2 linked regions of the Solanum lycopersicum genome follow. The main gene of each other region encodes a partner of the protein of the gene in region 2 in a complex. Links are inferred from orthologs where the notes say so. Each region holds a gene or a part of one and is shown on either strand. Other genes may lie near its edges.

What was found.
Region 1: AUGMIN subunit 4 (region 2) and AUGMIN subunit 2 share a complex: the UniProt entries of both Arabidopsis thaliana proteins name them as parts of the augmin complex. The link is inferred for Solanum lycopersicum from reciprocal best matches to the Arabidopsis thaliana genes AUG4 and AUG2.

Annotation. Positions count from the first base shown.
Region 1 is NC_090807.1:4,192,775-4,196,432, forward strand, and holds part of AUGMIN subunit 2, read right to left. Parts: intron 717-3,658; coding exon 603-716; intron 1-602. UniProt on the Arabidopsis thaliana protein: Contributes to the assembly of the acentrosomal spindle and phragmoplast microtubule arrays as part of the augmin complex.
Region 2 is NC_090811.1:422,871-427,155, forward strand, and holds the start of AUGMIN subunit 4, read right to left. Parts: upstream 2,839-4,285; 5' UTR 1,979-2,838; coding exon 1,850-1,978; intron 1,761-1,849; coding exon 1,713-1,760; intron 1,642-1,712; coding exon 1,516-1,641; intron 1,161-1,515; coding exon 828-1,160; intron 604-827; coding exon 504-603; intron 19-503; coding exon 1-18. Other genes in the region: ATP synthase gamma chain, chloroplastic-like, read left to right, coding at 2,903-3,952. UniProt on the Arabidopsis thaliana protein: Involved in microtubules reorganization during spindle and phragmoplast development.

The sequences.
Region 1 (3,658 bases), on a different chromosome or scaffold from region 2:
ATGCAGTAAAACAAGAATGCAAAACTGCACTAATGATTTCATAGATTCTTATTTCCTTTAATCCTTTTGCAGATGCAACTTCTTGAATCAGTCTTACTATTACCTGAACGCACATACAAATGTGTTGCTTCTATAGAGATTCAAACATTCCAACATCTAGCTGCATCAACATCTACGTCCCTATTTGACAGCTATAGCTCCTACTAACTAAAACTACACATACTATTTTATTTTTTCCTTATTGAGTTCTACAATATTCTTTCCATCGAAGTGTATCTAGAAGTTAGAACTAGAGTGACACACCTTCCACAAAATGAATCTCAATATCTTCTTGCAGTAGAAAAATAGGGAATAAAACATGAGCTGCCAAGGACCTGACTGTCACCAGAACAGATATATGCTAACATGATGATGCCATTTATTCTTTACTGATTCAGGAACACCAACATACAAAAATAAATGATAGTGTCCACCTAAAACATATTATATACAATTTTACAAATAATGCTTCAAACTCAAACCATCAAGACAAATTAGTTTTATTTTGACAATATATGAAGAAAAAGTTTATCAGCAGGATTGAAAAAGGAAGAAGTGCATACCCCCCATACTGTTGGTGGCTCTTTAAAATTCTGACTCCACTGAAAATCTGTTACGGAGGCCGTCAAAGCTCCATAATCACTGGCAGCCCTCATCAGCAATTCTGAAAATTGTTTCTGCACAATTCAATTACATACAACATCTATTAGCTCGTCATGTGTCTGAATGATCAAATGAACTATTTTAAATAGCTAGAAGAGTGGTATAGATTATAGAAGCATCCGGGTTCTTCCTCTCAGGATACATAGGGATGCATCAGTGATATAACTACTTCGAGTCTCTGTTTTTACAAAGTAGATAATGTATAGTAGGGCGCGTTAAAGCGAACAGTTGATGTAGTATCTAGTTAGTTCCTCTTTCAACTAAATATTAGATGTAGGTTATCCTTATTTTGATAAGGTAAATTTTTTTATTAATGATGGCGGACAACCTCGTATACAAGTACAAGCAGTATACCGAAACACAGACAACCTACACCAAAATATGTATGGTTCTCTAAGAAAGCAATCCAGTCATCTACACACATAGGAACTTCAAGGGTACACCGAAAAGAAACATGAACAGAGGACTACAATGCAATTTAACAAAATCAGTATCTACTTCTTCAAATGCTCTCATGTTCCTCTCGTTACATAGAACCCACACATAATGACTACTGAAGATTGCATCCTACAACAATAAATAGGTGCATCCTGCATTCCACAATCATTATGTTATCAAAACATCTCCTCCTCTTAGTTTTTCTTACTGGGTGTTTAAGTTTCAAAAGGGAAAGACAAGGACTAAGCAGTAGCTCTTCGGCAAAGTGTCCCACATTCAGTGTGTACGTGTATCATGAATTGTTGTTGCCTGTTTATATATTTTTAATTTGTGTTGACAATGCTGAAGTGCTTTTGAAATTGTGTAGCAATGGTGCACATAATAGCAGAAGAATAAAGAATTAGAGATTTGGTATTATGAAAACAATACTCATTCTTGTTGATAAATCAAAGCAATGACAAACATCAGATCAGGGAAGAATTTAAAATATAATGAGATACTTCTAATAATTTGGTTTTATGATTTCATGTTTGTTCAAAAGCCAGCTTTAAGAAGTTTTAATGAGGTGATATTAACAATATTGGCAAAATAACAGGAATTTTTCGATCTAGAGAACTAATTGAAGTTGTAAAAACAGGTGTACTAATACAATTTTTACATTTTTGATAAGTTAACTTATGCAATTTTTAGAAAAGAACTAATTACTGACGGTGTGGTATAGCAGAAAAATCTTGTTCAGATTAACTGGTTAAAAACTCATCAAAGAGCTCCTAATATAAGAGTTTTGATGGTTACTTGCACTGTAATTTTTTTGATGGTTGACAGCATACCCACATTGCTGAGGAATATAACTTTACCTTGCTCAAAAAAAAATATATAAGAGTTTTCAGCGAAAAATTTTGTAATATTTATGTTTCTTAATTATAAGACATATATTATGAATATTCTGCACTTCTAATTATTCTCTGGCTAATGTAACTACTAAGAAATTAAGTTTTCTTTCTTGACTTTCATCATGCTCGCTCAAACTCGGGGTTATAAGGTAACTTATAGAATTATAGTTCGCTTATTTTGAAAACAAAATACTACAGATAGACCAGGGTAGTTACTAGCTGTTTGGATAGTGTCACCGAAATGGAAAGCAATCAACCCAGGGAAAAAGAGATGTAGGAATTCTAGAACATTGGCAACTTTTCTCAGATTAAAATTGGTGTGCGTTATTACGTAGGGAAGGATGGAGACATAATAGATAATACTGAAAATAATGTTTTCTGGAGGAAGACAATAAATCAAAAATATGGTGGTGCACTAAACCAGTGAATTCTTCTTTTGGGGTTAGTATTAAGAAAGACATCAGGAAATTTTGGGAGAACTTTGTGATAAACATTGAATTCAGGATTGGCAATGGAAGGAAGACATTCTTGTGGAATGATAATTGGTTAGGACATGGTCGTTTAAAAGAATTATATCCAGATTGTTCTGTTTGGCCTCTACACCTGAAGCTACAATTGAGGATGCATGGAGTCAACAGGAATGGAATATCTCTTTTAGAAGATTGTTGTATGACTAGGAGATTGAAAGGATGGCTGAAATTCTGAAGACACAAGAGGTCTTTCATGGTCCTCGAAATTTTGAGGACTCCGTGGTTTGGAATGGAAGCAGCAAAATAAGGTTTACAATCAGTTCTGCCTATCACTCTCTGTCAGGTACTGATTCCATTCACCCTGACTGGCCTTGGAAATTTCTTTGGAAAGTCGAGGCTCCATTCAAAGTTGCCTGTTTACACTGTTAAAAGGGGACACAGCTGAGCTCTTGGTGTTTTTTGTGTCAGGAGGAGGCAGAGAACCATAGCTATTTATTTCTGCATAGCAAAGGTTACTGAACTATTTAGCAACTATCCTTGTCTTTGGCTGAGGTTAAATTATTAAATAGGTAATGCCAAAGATACAAAGGATCTTTTGTGGACTTGGAGCAATTAGACAGGAAGTATTAGACAGAAAAAATGGTGGAATGTTTTTCCAAGCTTGTATAAGAGGTGAACTGTGTGGAAAGAAAGGAAAACTAGGTGCTTTGAAGACATGAGCTGCTCTATACAGGAAAATAGGAACTGTTTTTGTCTTTTATATTCCGTGTAAATAAATTATGTAAAGAATGCATAAAAAATATGAATTTTTCAACTCCTTGTAGATTTTGGACTGGGCCATCTTTGATTGTAAATACCGATGCTGATGAATATAATGTTAAAAAGTCTTAAAATGTCAAATAAGATATTCACAATATTATGCTAGCCAAATGCAATGAATTTAATAAAATAAGATTCTGTGAAAATTCTCTCACATACCTATGTTGTTTTTTCCCAATCTTCCACAAAAATCATATTTCGCAAATGAGATTAAAACTCTTTAGTAGTCAGTGTGTGTGTGTGTATATATATATATATATATATATATATTGTTGGCTTATTTCATATGCGGCCCCTTAAAGTTGTCATCATAATTCACTTAGACACCTCAACTAG
Region 2 (4,285 bases):
GACTGGCAGCAGATATATCTGTAGAATCAAGGTAAGGTTATATACTTGTATTCTTACAGAAATCTTGATATGAGAACAACAACTTCTAAAAGTTCTGTTACTTAAATAGTAAGAGAACTACTCAACCAGCCTCTGAAGAATACACTGACATGAGTAAATCAAGAAAAAACTATAACCAAGAAATCCCTGAGGAGCAATGGGGCACAGTTTTGTGTAAATGGATAACAAGTAAATCTAGAACTTATGCACCTCAGCAGTAGATTTTTCCTATTTGCACCACAATTTGAAACATTACAATCAAATTGACTACATATTATACCCATTCAAATAATAATATGTATATAGGGGCTAATTATAAAACTGACATAGATGTCCAGGTCTTATTTATAAACGCTGGTTTTGTTTAAGAGGAAAACAAGTAGAAATTCGGCAACCAACAAACATATTGAAAGGCCAAGCACCAAGGGAAGATAAAGGAAGACAAATTAGCAACTTAAACTCACCAATGTCATCAATAGCAACTGCATCAGCTAACTTATCACATTTAGCATCTAACCGGCCACCAATCTCCCGTGAAAGTAATCTCTGGTATTCTGCCACGTCCTACAATAGCAGACATATAAGCATCTATGGGCGTGTAGAACTAACACTTGATAACCAGATGAATAGCGATTCCACGTTTGTAGGTAACAAGCAATCAAAGCATCGATAAATGTACACAAATAAAAGACAACTACAACACTTTCATTGAAGATTAATTGGAAAACAGAAAAGATTTCCCCACAAGACCATGAGGTTATCACGTCAATCAAATAGGTATATTATACCACTGATGACATCTGATGTAGTTGAGTTTGCCATAAATATGCAGGTGTAATTCCAAGGAACCGATTGGGAACACCACCAACATCTGGTTCTGTTGAATCAGTTGTACTAATAGTAGGAACAGCTCCAATTGCAGATGCATTGGTTTGATAAGCTGAGTTTGAGCTCGAGCTTAATGTAATGCTGGTGCTTGTGCTATCAAAAGAACTTCTTGACATTGTACTCCACTTTTCAATTTCCTCCTCGTGAATCTCACCGTCTTTGGAGATAAGAGGAAGCCTCAATCTCTGTGCTGCTTCTGCAACAACCATCCTATGCTCAAGAGCCTCATAAACCTGAAGTCATTCCAGAGCCAAAATCACCCAGAAAACTTAAAACAATTTGAACAATGAACCAAAAAAAAAAAAACTTGTCTGCAGAACTCTATCGTCAGAGCCTAAAAAATGTACAATGCATAACACCTTAAACTTATCATTCATTCTCATCTATTGATAATCAATTTGTTTATCAGTACACAATCTATACGGGTGTGCATAAGCATGCACTAGACGGTACGTGCAATCTTTTAGTAAAAAATCGTGCACAAAATACGTATACCCAAGGCAGGCCTGTAATGTCAGTGAACTAAAAAGAGAATCCTTTTACCCAAACAGCATCCATAAAATCGAATAAACTGAAAAAAAGTGGAACCTGAGGAGGGTTTTTCAAGCCCAATTGAGAGTATAAACCCTGGACATCTCTCATACCACCAAGATTAGCCACAGAAATGGCCTGCTGGTAATCCTCTACCATCGCAGTTGCTTCAATGTATATTGCCTATAAGGTTTATCCAGACAAAGGCAATCAGGAAAAAAATGAAAATGTTAACCCAAAAATAGAAATCCTACCAAAGATTCCAAGTATCGTTGTCTCTCCTTTGACATCTCTTCTCTCGCCTGCAATGCCCAAAAATAAATCATTTTTTTGAGTGTTTGGTTTACCTTAACGATCAAATAATAAGCATTGTAGAGAGATTAGAAAATACAAGTTGGAGATCGTAGTGAGCGGATTTGGAGATGAGAGATCCATCAGGGGCTAAACAATGGCGGTCTAACTGATCGATCAGCTGAGCGACGTCCGCCGGCAAGTTTTGCGAACCCAAACCTCTTCCCATTTCTCCGGCGATTCAATTCAAATCACTGAATTTTTTGGACTTGGATTTTGATTCTTCAAATATTATTTGAGTTTTTTACTTTGTTAAAAGTAAAGTATTTTTGGTTTTTTCTAACATAACAAAATTAAAAATTAATGGTAGGGATAATTTTTTTATTTCTTCTTTAATTTTTAGGATTAATATAGTATTACTAATAAATATTTCCGTTATACTCAAACATAGTTATTTAAAATGCAGATTTAGTAAAAATATCAACTTTAATAGTACGAAAGGAGAATTGATGCAAAAATTGAATGAATAAACGTTGTCAGCCATCAGCAACTAATTCAAGTATTTCTCAAACTAATTGCTACAAAATGTAAATAATTCAGTAGATAATTTGTCTAAATCAATACAAACAATTATAATAAACCAAAACGTGCGACAAACAATCTGTGAAAGAGAATTGGCCAAAGAACATCCATTCTATTGCCTCAAATATAGGAATTTTTCACAAAAGGAATTGTAAGTGAGAAATTCAATAAAACAATGTAGATTCTACTAATTTATGATTAACAATCATATCATTATTTAATTTTCACTAAATATAGAATATTATTATTTTGGTGTTTACGTAAAAAGAATTATGTAATATAATGCAAATAACTATTACAGAGGGCGTTTTTATAAAAAATAAAAGTTTGAAATAAAATTTTAATTTTAAAAAGAATTCCAAATAATGAGATTTGGCTCAAATCTTAAAAATTAATATTAAAAATTTGAAATATTTGTCAAATAAATAATAAATTATATGAAAAAAATTATTTGTAAAATAATTTGAAAAATTTATGGTCAAATGGAAGGACAACTAAATAGGGAGTAGTAAAACTCATCTAATTACAAATTAAAGTAGGGTATATTTCTCCAGTGTGTCGTCTGTAATCAATGGCTTCTTCACTCTCTTTCACTTGTCATGTCGTCAACTTTCCCATTTGTGATCCTAAACTAACCAATAGAAACCCTAGTTTCCGATCCCTGCAACTTCCCCTTCGTTCAATTCAGTGTGGTATTCGTGAACTACGAGGAAGAATCGACACAATCAACAAAACCCAAAAAGTTACAGAAGCAATGAAACTAGTCGCAGCCGCTAAGATTCGTCGAGCACAAGAAGCAGTCATCAGTACTCGACCCTTTGCTGAAACCCTTGTTGATATGTTGTACAACATCACCCAACAGCTTCAGTTTGAAGAGGTAGATATACCGTTGACAGAAATAAGACCGGTAAAGAAAGTTGGCCTTGTTGTTATTGGAGGTGAAAGAGGTCTTTGTGGTGGTTTTAACAATGGGATTTTTAAGAAAGCAGAGAGCCGGATGGCGGAATTGACGAGTCTTGGAATTGGGTATACTTTGATTAGTGTTGGTAAGAAGAGTAATGCTTATTTTCGGAATGTTGATAGATTTGTTGTTGATAGATTTGAGAGTTTTCCGACTGCTAAAGAGGCTCAGGTTATAGCTGATGATGTTTTTTCTTTGTTTATTAGTGAACAAGTTGATAAAGTAGAGCTTTTGTACACTAAATTTGTTTCGTTGATTAAATCTGATCCGGTGATTCATACTTTGCTCCCATTAAGAGGAGAGGAGTTTTTTGATGAAGATGAGTTTTTTAGGTTGACTAGTAAGGAAGGTAAACTGAGTGTGGTGAGGGATTTGAGGGTGAAAAAGGGGGAATTTTTGCGTAATTTAGAGTATGAGCAAGATCCTGCTCAGATTCTTGATGCATTGATGCCATTATATTTGAATAGCCAGATTTTAAGGGCACTTCAAGAGTCATTTGCAAGTGAGGTTGCAGCTAGGATGAATGCAATGACTAGTGCAACGGATAATGCTGTTGAGTTGAGGAGGAACCTTTCTATTGCTTATAATCGGGAAAGGCAGGCGAAGATCACAGGTGAGATATTGGAAATTGTTGCTGGAGCAGATGCACTAATTACATAGATGCTGAAATTTCTGTAGGATGTTTAAGAAAACCATTGCTTTAAGTTGATAATCCCTTGTTCCAATCTGTCTTAAAGGGAGAGATCATCTCTTTCTATATGTGTGTATGTATGAATAAAAAAATTTATGATTTTTTTTCCCATTGGTTATTCAGTATCCCATATTTTTATAATTTGTTTTTTAGAAGAAGGATGTAAGAAGTGAGTCCAAGTATAATCATGCTGTACAGTATGTTACTTATGCTTGTTAATTATTCATAGATTTTGTGAGAACCATATTTCAACATAAGTAGCTAGTAAGAGCTGCTTCTTTAACAAAAATGCAGAACCTTGG